3 linked regions of the Alligator mississippiensis genome follow. The protein of the gene in region 3 purifies or fractionates together with the protein of the main gene of each other region. This does not show direct contact. Links are inferred from orthologs where the notes say so. Each region holds a gene or a part of one and is shown on either strand. Other genes may lie near its edges. The genes, in order: LAMTOR4, LAMTOR2 and SLC38A9.

Region 1 (7,415 bases), on a different chromosome or scaffold from region 3:
GGCTCGGCCGCGGGGCATCATGGGAGTGCGGGCAAGGGGGCTCCTGCCGTAGAGGATCACGGGAGTGCGGGCATGGGAGCTCCTGCCGCAGGGCATCACGGGAGGGCAGGCAAGGAGCTGGGGGGGGGCTCCTGTCCTGGGGTATCTTGGAAGTGCGAGTAAGGGGGCTTCAGCTGCAGGGCATCATGGGAGTACGGGCAAGGGGGCTCCTGCCGCAGAGGATCATGGGAGTGCAAGCAAGGGGGGCTCCTGTCTCGGGGCATCATGGGAATGCAGCTAAATCACAGGAATGCAGCCAAGGCAGCTTCCTGCCTCTGGGGATGATGGGAGTGTGGGTAAGTAGGACTCCTGCCCCAGGGCATTCTGGGAGTGCAGCTAAGGGCACAGGAGCCCCAGGGCATCATGGGAGCGCAGCCGGGGGACTTTCACTCCTCCCCCCCGCTCTCCTGTTCCAACCCGCGGGAACCCAGCCGCAGACCCCCTCCCAGGCCTGGGAAAGGGGCTCGAGCTGTGCAAGGGCATCGGCTGTGCCTCATCGGCACCGCTACAAGGAAGATTAACATCATCGACTATTTTTGTTAGGTGCAGCCGAAAACGTCACTGACAAGTGGTGCAGCCACAGGGCGTACGCAGGCAGGGGCACAGCCTGGCAGCGCAGACACCGGCGTCTGGCCATCAGCCTGTGGGGGGAAGGGGTATGGGGTCTGTGGGGGGCCCAGATGCCTAGGTTCTCTCCCCATGCGTGAAGGGTCCCAGGTGCTTGTGTTGTCCCCTGCACCGGCAGGATGGATTTGATCAAATCCATTGAAATTATGATTTAATTTGGGATTGAAATCTCTCATCAGGGAGTCTCGATTTACCCAGTGTTTTCTACAAAAAGCGCATTGCTGCTGGAGGTGCTGCAGAACAGTGTCGTGTCGTATGGAGAGGTCGACGTGCCACGAGACAGAGGGCTGCGTGTGCACGAGGGAGTGGGAAAAAGTGGAATAGGAAAGTCCAGCCCAGCCTGGCCCGGCACATCCTGCCACCAGAGGCGACCCAAACAGGGTGTGGGGCCCACGGGAAATCAGCCCATGCAGGGACCCACCCCCACTCTGGCCCAGGCCCAGCAGAAGCTACAGCAGCAGCAGGGGATAGCAAATGACTGGACACGGAGCCACCACTCCGCCCGACTCTACGCCACCACTGCTCCACCCAGCTCTGCGGGGCCCCCCAAAGCGCGGGACCCAGGGTGGTCACCCCGATTCGCCCTCCCCGAGGGACAACCCTGCCTGCCACAGCTCCTCTTAACAAGGGTGGCGCCTGTGTCAGATCCTATCCACAGTGCCCGAGTTATGGGAAACTGCCAGGTTTTGTCACCCAGACTCCTGGGGCCAGGGGTCTCCTGGCCAGGGAGTGGTGGCTGGGGGATGAGTGTCTGGGAGCCCGGAAACCTGAGCTGTGTGGGAGGGGGTGAGGGGAGGCTGCAGGGGTGAGAGCTGGCAGACTGGATGCCTGGGTTTCCTTGGCCTTTGGTGCTTGGAGGGTCCCAGTGCCCAGCAACCCTGTGACCCCCATTGTCTCCTGCAGGATGCAGCAGGGCCCATGGGCACTAACCGTCACAGGCACCCCAGCCCCATGGCCCTGGAAGCAGTGCTGGAGGCGGAGTTGTCCTCTAGGCAGGTGGCCGGTGCCCCCTGCAGCGAGGCCCTGCTGCCCTGTGGTGCCACCAGAATGGGAGCCCCATGGCTGTGTCGTGTTGCCAGATTTGGCCCTCAGTACATAGCCTGTGCAAGCTGCACTAGGACCCCCAAGACCTCCTAGAGCAGCACTGGGCTGGGGGCTCTTTGCCCTCAGGCACCTCTCACCCCTCTTCTCCTTCCCTGCCACCTGCCGCGGTCCCAGCCCCTGTGGCACTGCAGGGGATTATCGTGGACGTGGATGCCACTGGTACATACTCGGGACCCTGCCTCCCCCAGACCCGGGTGCAGGGGGACCTGCAGACACCCTTTAACAGGGTTTTGTTAGGTTGACGAGGGGGGCTGCTACCCCAGGGGATCATGGGAGTGTGGGCAAACGCATGGGAGCCCTAGGGGATACTGCCTCAGAGGCCTAGGCTTCTTACTGATTTATTGGTCCCATTTTCTGCACACAGTGACCAGCAATCCCTGACCCCCTAGGGGTAGTCGGCGTGGCGGGCCCAGGGCAGGCGAGTGCGCAGCAGCAGGAGGCAGGCAGTGGCTCCAAGGGCCAGCAGCAGCGCCAGGCCCAGCGCGATGTAGGCACCCGTGGTCAGCCAGAAGGCAAAGAGGTAGAGGCCACGGTGGCAAAAGTGTGGGTTCCCAATGGCTACGTACTCCGGTGGGTAGATGGAGTATACCCACACGTTGCCTGTGGGGTAGAGGTCATGGGAGGGCAAGGGTCAGTGGTCATGCAGGGGCAGAGTCAGGCTGCCTGGGGTGGGGCCAGAGGTCACTGCTGGGGGCAGTTCACAAAGTCACAGCTAGCTGGGAAGATGTAGGTGGGGAGTCAGGGGTCACACCCAACTGGGAAGGGGTCATTTCTAGAGAGAATTTCAAGGGGTCACAACTAGATAGGAACTGGGAAGTGCGACGGGGTCATACCCAGCTCTGGAGGTCAGGAAGGGGTCAGGGGTTACTGCTAGGGGGGAAATCAAGGGGGTCACAGCTAGCTAGAACATTGAGATGGGGGTCTAGAAAGGATCAGAAGTTATTGCTAGGGGGGACTTTGAGGGGTCACAGCTAGCTAGGAAGATGCAGGTAACGGGTCAGGGAAGGCCACAAGAGGTCAGAGGTCACTGCTGGAGAGGTGGGAAATGCAAGCTAGAGGGGCCTGGTATACAAGCAGCCCTATGAGAGGGCTGCCACTGAGAGATCAAAGGTCAAAACATCCCACTCCCTCTCTCCCCAGTGGACTCAGGCATCTGGGCCTGTGACTCACCAGCGATGAACCAGGCGAAGAGGAAGAGGAGGAAGAGCGCATGGCAGCCCCAGACTCCAGGCTTCACTGGGGGCGGCTCAGCCCCATCGCCACAGGGCAGGCAGGTCAGCATCAGGCTCAGCAGGGCCACGACCCCCATGCCCAGCAGGTAAACGGGCACCAGGGGCTGGCAGGGACACTGCCGCAGGTACACAGCCCCTGGGGGAGCGTGGGGTCAGTGAGGGGGCAGAAGGGGGGATCTGCACTGCCCCATTGAGGGGTTTGGACTCACCAACCGCAACACAGGCGACCGGGAGCGCCGACAGCACCAGCTTCCCCAGGCCTGGAAGAGACACAGGGTCAGGAGGAGCCTGGGGCAGGGGTCAGCCAGGGGGGACAGGGGGCACTTACAGGTCAGGGCAAGGGTCACAGGGGAATCCTCAGGGTCCCGCAACAGCGGCACGGAGCTGTCTTCAGGATCTGCAGCCATCGCGGGGCCTGGAGTGGGGGGGGGGGATTCGAGACAATGGGGACCCCCCTGGACTGCCCCCCCAGCCCTGCCAGTGCCCCTTGCTCCCAACCCACAGCCCCCTTCCCAGTTCTCCCAGTAACCTACTGGTCCCAGGTCAAAACTTCTACCTTTAATGAGTCTTTCCTGCCCCCAGGGCCGCCCCTTTATAGCCCCCACCCAGGAAGAGGCAGCTGAGGTGTGTGCCTTGCCCCTCGGCAATATAATTGGGGTTGTGTGGAAGCGAGGCCTTGTCTTAAATCCAGCTGTAGGTGTTTGGGCTCCCAGGCTTTGTTCTAAGCCCAGCCCCTTGCAGAACCCAGGCGTCTGGGCTCCCAGCCCCCACTTCTCTCACAGCCATCCCTTATCCCCTCTTAGACAGCAGGGAGAGGACCCAGCTCCTATCCTTTAGTTCCAGTTTCAAAGGGGAAGAAGTGGAGTCTTGCACATCAGAGTGGGAAGCCCAGATGCCTGGGTTCTCTAGGACAGCAGTGGCTGAGGGGTGAGAGCAGGGGGGGCTGGGCACCCAAATGCCTGGGTTCCCTTCCTGTAGCCACAGGCCACCACAGGCCGCCGTCGTTACTGCTGAGTGGGGCTGATAAAGAGTTCCTGTCACCAGATCTGTACAGTGGGGGAGGGGCGGGGGGGGGGCAGTCCCTGCCAGGCCCCGATCCAGGTGTCCTGGGGGGCACTGCATGGGGGGGCAGGGCAGGGGCCTTCCCTCTCCAGAGATTCCAGTAGCTGGTGGGGGTACTTGTAGCTCTGATATCCCCCAAGTGTACATGGAACGAGTCCTTCAGGTCTCAGCTCAGGTCCCACTAGGGCACTGCCCCCTTCTCCAGCCTTGATACCCCCACATCTGCCCCAGCCCAGCTCCATGGAGGTGAGTTGTGGGGGTTGAACAGGACCCAGAGAGGCAGCTCCCTGCTCTCCCACAGCACACACAGAACCCAGGTGTCCGGGATGCCCCCCACCAACTTCCCCCCGCAGTCACCTACCCGCCTCGGGGGGCTCCAAGCTCTGTGACCCCCCGCCAATGGCTCGGGGCAGAGCGGGCGACAGGACTGCCACAGCCACACAGCACAGCCAGGCCAACAGCTGAGCTGTGACTTCCTGCCCACCCCCTCCCCCCCGCTGCAGGAGAGGTGGGGCTGCAGGTCTGGAGTGAGGGGCACTGGTGGGGGTGGGGATGGAGGTGGGGCTGCGGGGCAGGAGTGAGGGGCACTTGTTGAGCTGGGGGTTGCGGGTTGGGAGTAAGGGGCATTTGCAGGGCTGGGGGGTCGGTGGTCAGGGGCACCACTTGGGCTGGCACAGCTGCGGGATGGGAGTGAGGGGCTCCAGTCAGGGAGCGGGTAGGTCACAGCTTCCTTCCCACCCCCCATCAATCCCCCCTCGTTCTCCACAGGCACCACACGACCCTTGGCCCTGTCCTGGGCTTTATTGGAGCCACAAGCAAGGTACAGCAGGACCCCCTCCCCGTACTCCCTTCCCAAAGTCGTCCTGGGTCCATGGTGCTTAGGGTGACCCTGGATGCCTGGGTACCCATGTGGGTCTGGAGCTGGGGGTGCGGCTCCAGTGCACCTCAGTGCTGCGTCGCCTGAAAGAGAAAGGAAGGAGGTGAGTCCCCATCTGTCCCTGTCACAGCCCGCGGCCAGCCCTGCAGGGTGGCTGGCTCTGGGGTGGGGCCTGCTGGGAATAAGAGGCACTCACAGGGCGCTTGCGGAGCCGGGGGCCACAGATGCAGCCAGCACAGCTGTTGAAGAACTGCACAGTGCAGAGCAGCAGCTCCAGCACGGCTCCCCCCAGGATCAGTGAGAAAAGAATGATGTTGAACTTCACCACGTCCGGCGGGTTGTGGCATTTCCCCCAGAGTTCCGGGTGGAACAGGTAGCTCGACTTCCTGCGGGGGGTAGGGGGTCACCCTGGATTGGCCCCCAAAGCCCAGCCAGTGCCCCTCACTCTTGACCCGCATCCCCTGCCTCTCCAGCCCCCCCACCGGTGCCCCTCACTCCCAACCCTCGCCCCCCCAACCTGAAGTCATCATCATCGTCGGACTTCCAGGGTGGGCCCTGGAAGGGCCGTCCCCAATCTGAGAGGTTGCCTTCGGGCAGGAGATACTGGCACAGGGGCCCGCGGACCAGTGCCAGCCCCGACACCGTCATGGCATAGATCGCACCCCCTATGCCCAGCACCGCCATCAGCATGGACAGGAACATCTGCAGGGGCAGGGGAGGGCTGTTAGCCAGGGGTGGGGGCAGGATCAGGATCAAGCCATCCGGTGCCCCTCACTCCTGCCCTGCAGCCCCTGCGCCCCCAGTATCCCTCACTCCTGACCTGCAGCCCCTCCCCCACCCTGCTGGTGCCCCTCACACCCAAACCCCAGCCCCTTGATTTAGGGCAGGGGTCTCTCACCCCGCAGCGGTTCCCGCAGCAGCCCCGATGCCCAGCTGCCTGGAAGTGGATGGCGGTGATCACAATCTGGAAGGAGAAGAGAGAAGGGCAAAGACCCTGGTCTGGCCTGCACCCCGCATCCCCTGGCTTAGCTCCCAGTCCCTCCCCATCTGCCCAGCGTCCCTCGTACCAACAGGCCGCCGCCAACAAGGCCACCCATGTACATCACCTCCGGGGTGAGGTGGGCGCCACCGCCATGCACAAACTGGGTCTCCCAGTTGGGGAAGAAGAGCAGCACATTGCAGATGGCGCAGAGTACAGCCAGGGGACAGAGCGCGGCTCCCAACACCCGCGAACAGGCCCCGGGGCACATGGTGGCTGCGGGGCCTGCTGGGGCTGCGGAATATATAGGTTGGGGGCGGGTGTGGCTGCTCCTGGAGTTTGCCCCACGGGCAAGATAGCAACTGCGGGGGCGGGGGGCTATGAAGGGAGGCTCCCCCAGGCTCAGATGCCTGGGTTCTGTGGGAGGGGAGGGGTTGGAGGGTGAGAGTAGAGGGGCCTAGATACCTGGGGGGGCAGGGGCTGGGACCCCACATACCTGGGTTCCTGATTGGCGGGGGGTGCAAGGGGGGTAGACAACACAAGTTATGACACTGATTATTTAACAAGCTTTTCTGTTCTCAGGGCTAAGGCCCCATAAATGCCACCTTTGCCCTACAGCCCTGGGTTCAACTTGTGGACCAGGGGGAACAGGTAGGGAGGAGGCACCCACAGACAACCCAGGGGCTGGGGCCTGGGCACCCCCCCCACCAGCTGCTCCCAGAGAGCCCAGGCATCCAGGTCTCCAGCCCCCTGCTCTCACTCCTCAGCCCCTCCCACCCCAGAGAACCCAGGAGTCCGGGGTCTAGGAGCTCCAGGTGCTGTGGCCTTGAGCTGTGACCTGCCATCAAGGCCTTGGCTCGATCGATTGGGGCAGGGACCAGGGGTTTCCTGTGGAACCCAGGCATCTGGGTCTGCTCAGGTCCTGGTTACAGGGTGGAGCAGCCCCTTGAACCCTGCCCCCAGGCCCAGGGGGTGGGGGGGTGCTATCTGCACATGCAGAACGCAGGCGTCCAGGACATGCCCCAACCTGGTGGCACAGACACACATGTGGGCCCCACAGGTCCAGGACACATGCGTGTGGCCTAGCCCTCACTATCATGCTTGTGTCTGTGTCCCTAGGTCAACCCCAACCCCCTCAGGAGTCCTGGAGGCCCCCAGCCCTTTTGGCACCGAAGCAGCCCCGGATGCCTGGGTTCTCTCCCCACTCTGGCTCCTCCATTCCCAGCCTGGGAGGGACCCTCCCATCGCCACCCACCCCCTCCCCTCAGTACCCTCACAGAGACCCTGCTGCCGACCACAGCCCTCCCCCACCTCAGTGCTGCACCGCAGCCCTCCCCCCCCCCCCCCCCAAGAGAGGCAGAACAGCTCAATTCTATGGTGTTTATTTGCCGCTCAGACACCTGGGGGGTGAGAGCAGAGGGGCTGGGGGCCCAGATGCCTGGGTCCTTCTGCCATCACCCCTCTGCCCCCCCAGGCTCTTTGGCACCCCCCCCAT
Region 2 (7,551 bases), on a different chromosome or scaffold from region 3:
AGAAACCAACCACATCACTCACAGAGGATGGATGCAGGGTTGCTGGGTGCTCCATTTCCAGCACCCCCCGTGGTCCCCGACCCACTGCTCCGCCGGCTGCCACCTCCCCCATCGGAGCCGGCGCTGCTGGACGTGGAAGGCTGAGATGGGGCAGCAGGAGAGGCGGGTGTTGCAGCAGGGGTGGAGGCAGCAGCAGAAGTAGCAGAGGCAGCAGCAGCTGAAGGATCTGGAACCCTAAAGAGAGAAGAGACAGTCACCGCTGCGGCAGGGAAACTCACACAGCCGGTTCCCTTCTGCAGTTCAAGAAAAGAAGCTGGGAGTGACCACCTCCGGTCAAGGGGGATGTAGAGCCATCACATCCAAAACAACCTGCTCTCACCCAAGGCAATGAGAAGAGAAGCGATGTTGGTATATACTTAACTCAGTCAACGCACCTCAGAGAAGACTGGTCCCTAAGCAGGCACTGACTTTTGTGTTATATATCAAAAAAGCAACTAGTTGGTTACCAGCATTCTTGACCCATTTGACTGCACCATGTATAACAGGCTTTTACACCACATATAACAGAGATGGGCTTTCCTCTGTGGCTGCAGGGAACAGGACTAGGAACAATGGCCTTAAGCTGCAACAGGGCAAGTTAGGCTGGAGATGAGGAGGAATTTTTTGACTTGGAGGGTGGTCAAGCACTGGAACAGGCACCTAGAGAGGTGGGGGAGTCTCCATCCCTGGGAATGTTTAAGGGCAAGTTGGACAGACACTGGGCTGGGATGGCTGAGTCTTGCTGGGGTTATTTGACCCCAGTGGTCTTTCCTGCCAAGAACAGGAGGACTGGACCCAATGATCTCACGAGGTCCCTTCCAGCCCTAAACTTCTGTGAATATGAGTCAGGGCTGATCCTGCCTTGAGCAGGGGGCTTGACTAGATGACCGTATAAGGTCCCTTCCAGCTTGACTTTCTCATGTTCTTTTCTCTTCAACCAACAGGGCATATTATAAGTAGAAATGGGAGAGAAGCAAGGCCCTGATGCTGCAGAAACTTGCACCCAAGCTTAGTCAGATCCATGAGCAAGCTTGTTAAGGTTAAGAGGACACACCCACACTGGCAGGGTGAGAAGCCATTTGCTACCACAGCTGTTCTAGCTTTGCTAGTTTCCCTTCCTCATTTCTCTCTCTCACACAGCAATGGGAGGGAAAGGACACTTTAAAACCCAAAAGCAGTTAAAGTCCCAATCCCCAATGGGAAGGTGGGCATGAGCCCTGGAACTACCAGCAACTCATCTGAAAAAGGGGGCTACAGTGCATATCAATGCCATTATGAATGTGGAACCATCAGGTGGTTTGCAAATGATGCCCCCTTCCCATAAACTGGCCATTCAACCACAAAGAAGGGTTAATACCTTCCTTGCCCGCTCGGCAAGAGAACCTGCTGCCCCCAGTACCTGAACAGACTGCAGGGAGGTAGCTCCTTGCACTGAGCAGAAAGGAAGGCTGACTGCCTTTCTAAAAGGAGAGACAAAAACCTTATGGGAAAGCTGTGAGTGCGGGGGGAAAGCAATGAGACTGGGAAAGGAGAATCTGCAGAGGTGGCCCTTAAAGGGGTTGAAACTGCAGATGGGCAGTGTCTTGGAAAGAAATCACAGCTGGCCAGCTGCTTTGAAAGCCTTTCTCCCCTTGCAGCCTGCCGAGATCTCTCTGCCATCCACCTCCATTCGCTCAGCCTCCCCTCCAAAAGCAGCTGAAATAGAGCATGCCTAGCCAGCTGCTGTGAGATGCTTGCCCTAGGAAAAATACTTCAGAATAACTACCCAGGGAGCAGGCTTGCGGCTACCGGGAGCACAGAAATTGTTGGATGAGGATTTTTTTGCCTCCATGGAACTTTCCATGGCAATTTTTAATCCCAAGCATTTTACAAACTAATTTCGCTGCTACCACAGCAGCGGCTGCAGTCAGGGAGACTGGGGAGAAGCCAAGCAGATGGGAAATAGGAAGTTTAATAAAGAAAAAAAAAGAAGAAAGATCAGGGTCACTTGGACTCTCTCAGCACAGGAAGGAAAGGCTGCGATGCACACATGCTGGTGACCATTAGAAAGACAAAAATGAATGATGGGCCAGTTTTTAGTTTACCCCAGGAGACAGTTTGCAAGTGCTGAAGTTTATCGCGGAGACAGCGGGAAGCAGCATGGCATCAGCACGCTCCGTGCACAGGTACTGTTCTGTACAAAAGCCTCCAACAGTAGCTGACAATTCGTGTGGCTTCAGAAAAGAGGTACTGATTTTTAATAAGCCAGGGAGGAGGCGCTCCTGGTGGGGGACAACACAGCTTCAAAAGGAGCGTGAGCCTGTTTAATGACGCCCACTGCTCAGATGGAAAGACGAGTCCCAGGAATGGTGGGAAAGGGCCGTTAGGAACAAGGAGGCCTGCTTGCATCTGTAACGCGGCAACGGCACCAGGAATCATTAGACAACTATAACTTAAGAGTCACCCAGCAGCAGCTTTCCAGTATGTTGATCTACACCCCATGTCTCTGGTCTGCCTGAAAGGTTACCCCCAAAAACGTCGTTACGTGCTCTTGATAATACCCTACACTCACTGAACGCCTCTTGCTGAAAGATCTCCCAGCGCACAGGACGGCCGGACCCCGCAGCCACGGGGACCCTGGAGCGCAAGGTTTTGGCTTCACATGGCTGTGAGCAAGTGAAATAATCTCCATATCCGCCCTGTCACCCGGAGAAATCCCTGCTTTAATAGGTTCTTACACGCAACAACTAATACTCGTAAGATTTCAAAGCACGTCAACTCTGCAAAGCTTTATGAAACCCAGGAGCCCGGGAGCCAAGACCCAATTAGAGCAAAGTCCCGCAGCCCCCCGAATTTGAACTCGTACGCTTGACGGCCAGGAACTCACAAACACGCGGCGTCATTTCCTAAAACCCCGGGAAAGGACGATTTCTTACTTCTGTGGGGTCTTAATCACCAAGTGCACAGTCAGTCCATCTTTGATCCCGTGTTGGCTCAACGTGTCTCCATCCTTCAGGATCTTCCCCGCAAAGATCAGAACCAGCTGATCCTGTTTGGCTTTAAACCGCCTGGAGATTTCTTCTTTGAACTAGGGACAAAGACAAAAGGAGGCAATTCTCAGGCCGAGGCGCTTTCCAGTCTGCCCGAGAGGCTACAGGAGCGCTGGGAACAAGCCTTCGCGCGGTCCGAAGGACACCGGGCAGCATCCCCGGGGCCGAGCTGGTTTCTGAGGTGGTTCAGGGGGCGACGGTGCATCCTTCGCCCGTTCGGCTCGTGCAGGCGAGCTTTGCAAGAGCAGAGCGCAACGGCCTTAACGTGAAAAGCAGCTACGCCGAGGATTACGGGCCCCGTTTACACCGGATCATCGCCGCTGGCCGGCACCGCAGAAAGCATGCCGGAGCGAAGCAGGCGGCCCCGTTTCTGGCTCCGACTCCCACGAGGACGCTCGGGTTTTGAGCCGACGGCCTCGCGGCGCCGCGGGAGGACCATCCCGTCCGCGGGAGGCTGCCCCGGCTCGGCACGTCCGCCCGTGAAGACGCGGCTCCGAGGACAGGCCCGGCTCCGCCTCGTCCACACGCGCCCGCCTGGCCATGCGCCGCTCGCCCCCGCGCCCCCCCGGCCCGAGCCCCGCGTCCTGGCTCGGCGCCCCCGCCCCCAACCCGGCCACGGCCTGCTCGCGGGGCGACCCCCCCGCCCGGGGCAAAACCTCCCGCGCGGCCCTGGCCCTACCCCCGCCCCCGCCTCAGGGCCCCGGGCCCAGGCCGCACCTCGCGCACGGAGGCGCCGTCGCCGATGACGATCTCCTCCTTGTCCTTGGGGGTCTTCACCGTGACGCGGATCAGCGCCGCACCCGGCCCCGGCTCCGCGCCCTCCGCGCCGGGCCCGCTCGGCTCCGCCATCTTGGCCGCCCGCCCCGGCCCGGCCCGGCCCCGCCCCCCGCCCAGGAGAGCGGCCCCCGGCGGCGCGGGGGGGGGCGCGGGGAGCTCGGCGCCCCCTGGCGGCGCGGCGGGGAACTGCGGGCGAGGGGAGGTGGAGTGGAGGGGCTTGGTGGGGAGACTGAGGCTGTGCATGCCCCTTGCGGGGGGAACTGAGACACACTGTGTGTGTGCATGGGGGTATGCATGCATCTGGGTGGGGAAACTGAGGCACGCTGTGTGCAGGGGGTATGCATGCCCCTGGGGGGAGAGGCGTGCTGGATGTGGGGAAGGGTATGCATGGCCCTTGGTGACTGTCTTGAGCTCCATGAGCCCCCCTCCCCTCTCAATCCTCGCAACTCTGCTCCGTAAGTGACACAGGGGAAACTGAGGCACGGAGAAGCTGCTCTGAAAAAGGGGCTAGCTTCTGGGTAGCCAGGGGCTGATTGTCCCTAAGGGCTGCCAGCTGGAGAGCTCACACCCACCCACCGCCCCTTCCCCAGGCTCAAGGCGGTTGCAAAGGAGCTGTAAAATGCTGCAGCCAGGCCGGAGGGAAGCTGACCTGGATGTGGGGATTAATCAGAGCATTCATTTCTCTGTTTTCACATCACCAGCTCCCAAATGTAAGTAGCGGTGGGGTGCGAAGGGGGTTGATCTCATGGCTGTTTGGGAGCGTCTGTGCTGGAGATGCAGCCGTGTTGTGCCTGCCATGGGGTTAAAGCAGGATTTTGGTCTTGTTAAGATAGAAATATATATTTCAGTGTATGTGTGCCTATCTATCTATCTTGCTCCTGACCCTCAGCCCCTGCCCACCCCCAGGCCATGCTGGTGCCTCTCACTCCCAACCCGCAGCCCCCTAGCGCTGCCTCCAATTGCCCTTCGCCTGCTCCTCCCAGCCCCAAACAGCTCCTTGCTGGGAAGTGCCAAGGGGGAAAAAAAAAATGATGCTGAGTAGAGCAAAATCCCAGATATTTGTTCATATTTTTAAAAAACTGCCTGGACAGAGGACCCAAAACGAGGACGTGTCTGGGAAAACCCGGACATATGGTAACTCTAAGCAATGTTTCTGCTTTTTAAAAAGGGAAACTGAACTGAGCTGGCAGGGCTGGGGGGTGGACAGCAAGATCTTTGTGTGGGCCATGTGCCTAGCTCCTGTCCTGGAGGTTGCCTGCAGCTGCCTTGCAAGCCTGAGTTGCTGGCAGGGCCATGCAATGCCTGCGCCTGTCGCATGTGGGCCTGACTCGGCAGAAGCCAGGCCAGGACTACAGCTCCCAGGCTGCTCCGGGCGCCCAGGGGCCATCAGCTGATGGGGAAGCAGAGCTCAGAGCTGTCTGCCTTCCTCTCCTCCCTGCTGCAGGGCCAAGAGCCGTGCGGTGGTGACCATGCTGCGCCCCAAAGCCCTCACCCAGGTGCTGAGCCAGGCCAACACCGGGGGGGTCCAGAGCACCCTGTGAGTATGGGGGAGTCGGGGGGTGGCTGGATGAAAGGGGTCTCCAAAGCCTGGGGCACAGCTCAGTACCTCTGAGCCTCCTTCCTCTGTACTCTTCCTAATTCAGGATAGAAACAGGCACCACTTGGTTTCCATCCCTGCCAGGAGCCATATAATGCAGCCTAGTGTGCCGTAAAAAGCAGTAATCCAGCCTAGCCCCTAAATCCTGTCTTCTCCCTGCCCAGGGGGGCTGGGGCACTAGCTTGCAGGACTAGCTGCATTGATGTGCCTGTGCATGGTTTGCTGAAGTGCAACCAGGCTCGTTCCAGCTCTGCCCGTTCTTGCATGCATTGACGTGAGACACTGCTAAGGGCACAGGCAGACAAGTTTCTTTAGGTAAATTTGATTTATTGATTGATTTTTATTATTCAACCAGTTAAATGCTTGGAAAAAATTTGTTTTTGCAAGCTTTTGGGTATAAACACCCTTCTTCAGAAGCTCGCAAAGAACAATTTTTCCAACTATTTCGTTGGCCAAATAAAAGATAACACGTTTACCCAAAGAACCTTGTCTGCCTATGTCCTTAGACCGACACGGCTACAACCAACAGCCTTAAAGCTAAGGGCATAGGAATCTTTTCCCACCTCCCCAGTTGCACCCCAGAGCCAAAGATGCCTTGGCTTCCTTGCATTTCAAGGTTGCTGCAACAGGCAGGAAGAAAACATACCATCAGGGGCGCGGGTCCTGGAGCTGGTGAGGTTGCCTGGAGCTGGGTAGATGCCGATCTTCTTTATGGCTAAGAGCCCCAGCTGGACAAAGCCTCAGCTGGGATGATGTAGTTGGGGCTGGTCCTGCTTTCAGCAGGGACATGGACCAGATGTAACCTCCTGAGGTCCCTTCCCACCCTCTTTTTTTTTATAATGTAAACCCCAAGGCTTCTGTAGCTTTTATGTAGGATGCCTGCCTGGATTTGGGGAGCTTCTGAAGCCCCAGACCGATAGGTCCAGGAAGGAGGACACTTGCCCAGTGGTAGAGTCACGCAGACTTGACAATTGAGCTTTGCTCAGTTGAATCTTGATACTTGATTATTGGGCTTTCACGATTGAATTTGGAAAGGATTCGGCCTTGAATAATAATAATAAGACGGTGATCTTCTTTCACACATGGGGTGATGCACTTACAGCTGAAGGTATAACCTGCCTGGGTGGTATTGTGTTAAAGGGAGGGGAGGGTGCTGGTTACTTCCCTCTTGGGGTGGAGGGGTCACACTTGGGATACTTGTGACTTTGGAGAGGCTGCGTGGGACCCTGGGGGCTGTGCATATGGGGGTTCAAGTCTGTCTCCTCCCTGCATCTCCTTTCCAGGCTTCTGAACAACGAGGGCTCGCTGCTGGCATATTCTGGTTACGGAGACACAGACGCCAGGGTCACAGCTGCCATCGCCAGCAACATCTGGGTGGCCTATGACAAGAATGGGCACCAGGCTTTCAATGAAGACAATTTGAAGTTCATCCTGATGGACTGCATGGTACCTGGGTTGGGGGTGGGGGTGTCGGTGGACTCCTGGCAGGAAGGTGGGATAAACCCAGGCAGCTTGAACATGAGATCCTGGCACCCAGTGGGTGGCTTCTTCCTGCCTTGGTTTCTCCCATCTGTAAAATGGGTCTGGTATGTGCCTTGTTGTGGGGACCAGTGAGCTTTATTCAAGTGTTTTGAGATCTCCCTGATGGAAATGCTAATTGTTGGGAAGTAGAACATCAAAACAGGGGAGCACTTTGCACCTGCCACTTGGAGTAAAGGGTGTGGGTGTGTAAACATCAGCTAAAACAAGGCCCAGGCTTACAAGTGTGACCTGACTTTGGCATAGCGTAAAGGACTGCATACAGGCAGTAGCAGCATCGAGCACTCTTCATCCGTAGACCTCAAACCACTTGACAGGCCAGCCTCAGTCTTGCAGATTGAGGGGAAACTGAGGCACAGAAAGGGGAAGGGCCTGGTTGGGCTGCTTTGCAGGCCCTTCTCAAAACAGGAGTAAAATCTGAGTCGAGGGCCCTTAACCCCTCTGCCACGCTATCTTCCCAACGACTCCTTGGTATCTTGATGAGGGAGAGCAGGGCCTCGAGATGCCGCGAGCCAGACCCCTAGAAGCAGGTTTGGGGCAGAACTCTGCAAACGTGGATTCAGTGCTCTG
Region 3 (7,983 bases):
TCTGGACTAGCTGGAGCAGGTGTCATGTACAGCACAATTGGGGCAGGTACTGCTTGTAGTGCAGTCCAACTGGGGCGGCCACTGCTCCCACCAAACTGCTACACATGGCATCCATGCTGTGCAGCCCAGATCCTGGAACAGCCACTGTAAGGGACCTAGAGTGGCAGCCAAATCAGGTATGCTAGGGAAGGGGAAAGAGGGTCAAGGTGTGTGTGTACATGTCCATGGGCCCAATCAGGCCTGCAGACCAGCCCAGCACCACTCATCCACAGCTGCTTTGGTTTCACATCCTTGATGTAGATACTCTTCTCTCCCTTCAATGGTTGGTAAACTGGCTTTTCCTTCAAAAATTATTCTTTTTCTCCTCTGCCACTCACACAGCAACATCCTCCCCTCCTGGAGCTTTCATTCCTTCCTTATGGGTCTCTTCTCAGCTCATACTAGACGATACAGTAAGGAAAAATAATAAGGCCAAAACAAAGTGCTTTTGAAAGTATCACTCTAAAGTTTTATGGCCCACATTCAAAACAGAAGCATTAAGATAAAAGGCAGGTCCTCTGAAATTGTCCTGAAAAGAACAGTGCACTATGAACCAAATAAATAGCTCTGTAGCAATCAATATAACACAGAAGAATGGGGTCACTACTCTTTTTACTTAATGATAAAATATTTACTTGAAGAGCAGGATCCTTTTTCCACCCCTCTCTCAACATGGGGTGATGGGCTATGAGTAGAAACCAAACTATGCTACAATTGTGTGGCTTCTCTTTTAAAAGTGGCTGGAACACTCAGGCTAAACACTAACAAACACAAGTTTGATTGCATTAGAGCATTTTGAGGTGCATCAAATCCAGACCTTACAGACAACTAAACTCAATGTCCCACATTAAGTACCTGTGAATTATTCAAATTAACACTTTGCCTTGAAACAATCCCTGCTATTTAAAACTCCTATTTAAACAATAGGAGTTATATTGCCTGCCTAATCATGGGTGCATCAAATCCCTTGTCTGTTCTTTAGCTCTAGACTTTGGGGGCTGCACCTCTAACAACTGCTATGGAAAGATCTCACCAATTCAAATACTATTAATGTCACCATAACCTGTCAGATAATCACAGGTACTCCAGACCCCAAAATACAAAGCCCTGTTTCACATGTCCATAGGGTCCATTACTCCTCCCCTTTTCAAACAAACAAGGTACCCTCCTACAATGACTATCCTGTACACTGTGCCTACTCAACCAGAGCGTTGAATATTCATGGAGCAGCAAAGCCATGTAATACAGATCATACCATATATTACTTCACACCATCTCCTTGGTAGGCTCCCTCTCCTGATCACAAAACACACATAATGTTCTTAATAGCTGCTGCACATAGAGGCCCTCCAGATTAAGAATCCTTGCTCTATAACAGTGTATAAATAGTTTACTACACAAGTTTAAACCCAGTTCAAGCACACTTTGGCCTTCTCCCCAGTGGTCAGACAAAACATGCACCAGTCTGTTAGTTCTATGTATCTACGTTCTCTCATCCTTACTACCATATTCTACCAGCAAAACATTGAGTGTTTCTGCACCCAAAGCTCTTTGGTGAGTTTAGACTCCATCTTTCTACCAGAACTCTTATATCTTGTCTGCCTAGGTTGTGTCTGTGCCATAAATTTTGCTAATAGCAGCTGTCAGAAGGAAGCTGCTACAAAATTTTTGTAGTGATGTGCTTCTGGTGGCTCTACTACAGCTGTTGTACTGGCCAGGTGTGAAGTATATGGGAGGCACCAACTGCTGAAGGAACCATAGGAGCTGGCAGAAGCTGTAGGCATGTCTACACATACCTGCTGCCAGGCAGCAATAGAAATCATTTTTGGTCAGCTAGCAGAAAGACAGAATTTTGTAATAAAGTGGCTTGAAGTGTGGACGTATAAGCTTTGGCCTACCTATACTACGTGGCTTTGCTGACAGACCTTTCCCAAGTGAAGGAAATCTCCTGACAGGTACAGGTACTCCTCACTTAACATCATTAGGGATAACATTGTTTCATTATTACATCACTGATCTATTAGAGAACACACTCATTTAAAGGTTGTGCAATGTTCGGTTATAACACTTTGGCCGCTGCCTGCTAGTAGGTAACTGCTGTGATGTAGTTGGATTCGCTTAACATCATTTTGCTTAAAGTCACATTTTTCAAGAACATAACTGGGACATGAAGTGAGGAGTAGCTGTACATACAGAAAGCATGGGAGTCTCTGTTGGACTTACTGGTCCCCTTCAGTGAGGAACCAGAGATGCATGAAAGCCTGGTGGCTGCTGACTCCCACTACAGCCTCTGTCAGCTGGTTGTCTGTCCTAGCCCTGCATTGCACTGCAGCTAACACAAGACAGCCAGTGGCAGAGACCTGATGCGCCTGCAGATTCAGCGGCAGGGTACGAAGCAGGGAGGGGGCAGGCTCTGGGCATGGGGGCTGCATGGCAGACTTGCAAGCTGCAGTGTTGGGGGGAGGGAGCACAGGTAGCTGCCAGCCCCGTCTAGAGCAGGCTGAGATGTTTACACTGACCCCAGATAACACAGCCCTGAAACTCTCTGGGGTGCAGCCTTAGGAGAAGTACAACCTGGCAATATTATCTACCGCCTGGAAAGCAGGTGTCCTTCCTCCTCCCTGAAGTAACCTCCACTGCGCGGATTAAGAAAGGGAGAAGCCAGCGTGTCCCCGGGGCCCGTCCCGAGGGCCGGGGAGCCCAAGGGCTCCCACTTCACCTGGAACAAAAGGCCGCTCGCATGAAAACGACCCGGGATCGCCCCGAGCCGGGGGCGGGGGTCCAACGAGGGCCCGAACCGGGCGCCCCCAGGGGCCGGCCGGCTGGCAGGGCGGCCCGACCCCCTCCCCGCGACCCCGCTGCAGCTGCCCCAGGGGCTGTGCCCGGATCCCCGCTGGGGCCCGCACCCGAGCGCGGCTCTACCTGGCTCCGGCGCCGGCCGAAAACAGGAAGGGCGCGGGGGCCGCGGGAAGTTGCCGGGCCGGCGCGGGCGCGGACTACAGCTCCCAGCGCGCCCCGGCGGGGGCGGGGGCGGGGGCGGGTCGCTCGCCGCGATGCGCGGGGAGGCCGGGCCTGGCCGGGGAGCGGCGGGCCCGGCTCGCGGCGGTGCTGAGCCTCAGGGGTAGGGACCGGGGGGAGCTGTGCAGGCAGGCGGGCGGGCGGCGCGGTGACCGGACGGGGCTGCCTCCCCACCCCGGGTTGCCCCCCGTCCCTGGGGCCCGGCCTGCCTGGCGCGGGTGAGCGCGCACCGGGAATTCACTGTGAATTCACTCCCTGGCTCGCCCCCGTGCCCATAGGTATAGGGCAGCCTCCCCCAGCCTCGGGGGTTTGCCCCCCGCCGTAATAAAGATGGCATTTGTGCGCCCCCACTTCAGCCACTGCTTTCCTTGCCACTGATTCTTCTCGGCCCACGGGTTGAGAAATGCTGCCAAGGGGGGGCCCAAGAAGCGGGGTAAATTAGGCTGTGCCCCTGCAGGAAGACTGCTCCTGACCCCCCACGCCTCCGCCAGACCCAGTCACCAGCTAGAGCAGTCAGTGCATGTGTGTAAGGCAGTGCTTCTCAGCCGGGGCCCAGCTGATCCTTTGAAGGGTGCCCCTGGGAGTGAGCAGATAAGCTCAGGCATGTCCCTGCTTGATCCATCCTCCACTGCCATTGCTTGGCCCTTCTGCAAGGAGGTAAGTACTGTGATATCTAAATTAGTTTTTAAATTGGGTGTCACTCCATTCACAGAAGTTATGGAGGGGTGAAGAAAGGTTGAGGAGCGCTGGTGCGGAGAGAAGTGGGTCTCTACCCTGGTCTGTAGAACCGATTGTTGTGTGGCCATACTTGGAGCTATGACAGAGCGGTTATTCTGGACTCTCTCCCTACGTAGACAAACATGTAGAGCACAATACACGATGGAAGCCTGTTAGTTCCTCCCTGGGACTGGCACTTTCCATGAAGAGGAGAAACTCACTGAATAAATCAGTGAAATCAGTGGGGAAAGTGTGACTTGGAATCGCATGGTATACTTTTTAATGCCAATATTGTACTGGTGAATTTTGTTGAATGAGCAGCTGTAAAAACAAAGTCTATCTGTGTATCTATCTACAGATCCATTTTCAGTGGTAAATAAGACTGTTGTCTGTAGGACCTCTGCCTTATTAATTGCAGAAGTTTCAAGTTGTGTAGACTAGGGGTGTTGACTCATCTCAGCCCCTGGGCTGGATCCAAACTGCAGGGCTCCTTGCAGGCTGAATCTAGATGTGGCAGCAGAAGCGGCAGCAGCAGGGTGAGCAGCAGTGGCAGCTGTGGAGGTTCCTGCAGCGGCTGTCCCCATGCCCCGTGCCCAACACACATTCCCAACGGGACTTGTGCCATGCATATCATCAGTGAGCCTCATCTCTGCAGGTCCCACTCCCAAATTCCTGGCCTTTCTACAAACCCTACAGGTCAGATGAGCTGGTTCTGGAGCCATATTGTGGGCCATAGGATTGTCTCTCCTGGTACAAAGCATGGAGCAAGGGACTTCAGGAGAAGAAAGAACAGCCTAAGAAGGCAGTTGAAAGATGCCTTGGAGAACTGGCTTATATTTCTGATTCTGTTAGCTTTTGTCCGATGTTTGGTGAATCATTTAAAACATACAAAGTGTTACATATTTTAAGCATTCTGAAATATTAGGTATTGGGCATTTTCCTGTTAGATATCTAAAATTAGTCTTAATTTCCCCCGTCTCATCTTCCCATTTGTCAGTTGCAGGCATTAGTACCCTTAACCTCAAAGGGGTGTTAAGTTCATTCATGTTTATGGAGCAGTCAGATATTGTAGTAATGAATGCCCTAGGAAATTAATAATTCTGTCCTTCAAAAGCAGACTTCATATAGTGTGCTGTAAATAAGATGTTGGGTCACACTTGAACAATAATGCTCAAACAATATACTGGATAGGTAGTCATTAAATAAGCATCATGGCAGTAAAGGAGTGGAGATGCTGTGAGACTATGTCAGTAAAAATTGTATTATAATTCATACCCTCAAGAGACCTGAATCAAAGTTTTTATCAATTTAGATTAGATAAGATTTATATGCTGCCCTCCCCAAAAGAGGCTCAGGGTGGCTTACAGTAAAAACAAAACATAAATAATAAAATAAAATATATGAAATAGATGAAAATATAAAATAAAATAACTTAGTCGAACATCCTATCCAGGCAGTGCCCCCAGACTTAACCCCACCTGCTGAAGGCCTGAAATGGAAAGGTCTTGCAATGCTTTTGGAAGATCTCCAGCCTGAGGCTATCTTGGGCTTTAAGGGGAGGGCTCCAGAGCTGAGGGGCGATTACCTAGAACCACCTCCTATTTGATTCCACCAAACTTGACACACCCATGGCATTTGCAGGAGGTTGCTCTCAGGTGACTTTAGGGACACTGCATTTTGACTCAGCTTCTGGACGGTCCTCAAGGACAGCCCCATGTAGAGAGCATTGGGTTGAATGAAAATGCAAGATAAGAGCTGGATGCCATCATCAGGCTGATGGCATTTCTACATCTACTCACAGTCTTGCCCAACGGTCTCAGATTCGTATTGAACGGGAGCTGTGACAGCACAAAACCCTGGGAGACCCCACATGAGAGGTCCTGATGGGATGACAAACACTCGCCTATCACCACTCTCTGGGCCCTCCCTGCCAGGAAAGAGTGGAACTAATTCAAAGCGATCTCACAAGTATATACCAGATCATGCAAATGCATTATCACTGGCCAATTTTGCAGGCAGGTTGTGAGCCCTGCAGCTATTTCCATGAGCTTATCATGGTGGGGGCCCCCCACACCTCTGACTGAGGGGCCCCAGTGGCCCCCCCCCGCCCCGATTGGTGGACAGGGTTGTCCATCTTGCGGCGGGGGGTGGGGGGGTGGCAGCCATCTTGCCCTCTTATTTTCATGCTGGCAGCCCTATTTGTGGTGGGCTGTGCAGCCAGGAGAACTGCCAGCACTTTATTTTTAGGAAGGTTTTTTTTTGGGGGGTATGCGGAATTTCACAGAGATTGCTTAATTTTGCAATTTCCATGAAATCATGATTTGAGTAGGTCTCGATCAATTATATCAAAAGCTGCTGAAAGATCTAATAAGATCAAAAAGGAACAATTTCCCCTGTCCATCTCCAGGTGAAGATTGTTGGACTGAGCTGATAAGCACCATCTCCTTACTGTACCCAGGACAAAAGCCAGACTGACCACGGTTCAGGTGTGTGATAGAATTCAGAGAGACCTGGAACTGCCGGGTGACCCACTCATTCAATTGCCTTCCCCAAAAGAGGAGGTTGGAGAGTTGGGGTGATAGCTGCATGGGCTGTCGATGTGAAGACATTTTTTTTTTCTTTGGAGTAGGAGCTGGAAAATCAAATTCTGGCATTTTCTAACTTTTGAATCTTTTACCTTGAAGCCTTAATATTTTTTAACGTAGGGCTTTTCTATAATAAATCAAATTGATTAATTTCCATAGAGCAAGAGATACAAATGTTATGAGATGAAGTGCAAATAATGGTCACTAAAACTGGTCTGCAGCTATGCTGTTACTTTCTTTGAACAATCAAGCATCAAATGATAGTAAACATATAGGAGATAACCAAAAATAATTTATTATGCACCCAAAGTCGTTGTAAGAAGTGACAGAAGCTCTTGTTATGTTTTAAAAGAAACATAGCAGCAGTTCAGGCAGTTCCATCCAATTTCTTTTATGTATACAATGATACGAAGAGAAAGTCTGCACATATAACAATTATCTTTTACTTGAGCAGAAAGTTACAAAATGATGTTCAATGCAAATCACTTATATATACTTTCTCTTTATTTATTAGATTTATAGTCTTCCCCCCACCCCCCAGTCTTAGTTACCTCTCCTGTATGTCCTACCCTTCAATTATTGTTTCATAGTTTGTAGGATCAGAAGGGACCTGACTAGATCATCAAGTCCAACCCCCTGCCATGGCAAGAAAGAGTACTGGGGTCAAACGACCGGGGCAAGGTGTTCATCTAGCCTCCTCTTAAAGACCCCCAGGGTAGGAGCCAGCACCACTTCTCTTGGAAGTTGGTTCCAGATCCTAGCCGCCCTTACAGTGAAGTAGCGCTTCCTGATGTCTAGTCTGAATCTACCCTCTGCCAGCTTGTGACCATTATTTCTAGTCACTCCTGGTAGTGCTCGGGGGAACAGGGACTCCCCCAATGCCTGCTGGTCCCCTCTGACTAGTTTGTAAATGGCCACTAGGTCCCCCCTCAGCCTTCTCTTGTGGAGGCTGAACAGATTCAGGTCCCTTAGCCTCTCCTCATAGGGCCTGCCCTGCTGCCCCCTGATGATGCGGGTGGCCCTCCTCTGGACCCTTTCCATGTTGTCCACATCCCTCCTGAAGTGCGGCACCCAGAACCGGACGCAGTACTCCAACTGCAGCCTGGCCAGTGTCGCATAGAGGGGGAGGATCACCTCCTTGGACCTGCATGAGATGCATCTGTGGATGCATGACAAGGTGTGGTTGGCCTTCCTGCCCCGTCCCCACACTGTTGGCCCATGTTCGTTTTGGCATCAATAATGACTCCAAGATCCTTTTCTGCCTCTGCACTGATGAGAAGGGAGTTCCCCAGCCTGTAGGTATGCTGCTGGTTCTTCCTCCCCAGGTGCAGCACCGTGCACTTGTCAGTGTTGAAACCCATCCTGTTCTCATCTGCCCACCCCTGTAACCTGTCTAGGTCTGATTGTAGCCCATTCCTCCCTTCTAGTGTGCCCACTTCCCCCCACATCTTAGTGTCATCTGCAAATTTGAACAGGGTGCTTTTTACCCCCTCGTCCAAGAAGATGTTGAACAGTGCAGGCCCAAGGACTGAGCCCTGGGGGATCCCACTGCCCACATCCCTTCAGGTCGAATAAGACCCCTCCACCACCACTCTCTGGGTGCAGCCCTCCAGCCAGTTAGTGA

Evidence for each region.
Region 1: the proteins of SLC38A9 (region 3) and LAMTOR4 purify together in Homo sapiens (affinity purification with mass spectrometry; 4 studies listed by BioGRID and IntAct, with this or other methods). This does not show direct contact. The link is inferred for Alligator mississippiensis from reciprocal best matches to the Homo sapiens genes SLC38A9 and LAMTOR4.
Region 2: the proteins of SLC38A9 (region 3) and LAMTOR2 purify together in Homo sapiens (co-immunoprecipitation; 5 studies listed by BioGRID and IntAct, with this or other methods). This does not show direct contact. The link is inferred for Alligator mississippiensis from reciprocal best matches to the Homo sapiens genes SLC38A9 and LAMTOR2.

What each region holds. Positions count from the first base shown.
Region 1 is NC_081838.1:23,516,333-23,523,747, forward strand, and holds the start of LAMTOR4 (ragulator complex protein LAMTOR4), read right to left. Parts: upstream 3,025-7,415; 5' UTR 2,983-3,024; coding exon 2,941-2,982; exon of another isoform or gene 2,911-2,940; intron 2,371-2,910; exon of another isoform or gene 2,105-2,370; intron 1-2,104. Other genes in the region: MBLAC1 (metallo-beta-lactamase domain-containing protein 1), read right to left, coding at 5,010-5,024, 5,138-5,327, 5,459-5,643, 5,840-5,905. UniProt on the Homo sapiens protein: As part of the Ragulator complex it is involved in amino acid sensing and activation of mTORC1, a signaling complex promoting cell growth in response to growth factors, energy levels, and amino acids.
Region 2 is NC_081838.1:17,228,315-17,235,865, forward strand, and holds the start of LAMTOR2 (ragulator complex protein LAMTOR2), read left to right. Parts: upstream 1-4,470; 5' UTR 4,471-4,553; coding exon 4,554-4,555; intron 4,556-5,289; coding exon 5,290-5,382; intron 5,383-6,725; coding exon 6,726-6,888; intron 6,889-7,551. Other genes in the region: UBQLN4 (ubiquilin-4), read right to left, coding at 23-234, 2,955-3,106, 3,786-3,917. UniProt on the Homo sapiens protein: As part of the Ragulator complex it is involved in amino acid sensing and activation of mTORC1, a signaling complex promoting cell growth in response to growth factors, energy levels, and amino acids.
Region 3 is NC_081826.1:268,407,440-268,415,422, reverse strand, and holds the start of SLC38A9 (neutral amino acid transporter 9), read right to left. Parts: upstream 3,050-7,983; 5' UTR 2,962-3,049; intron 1-2,961.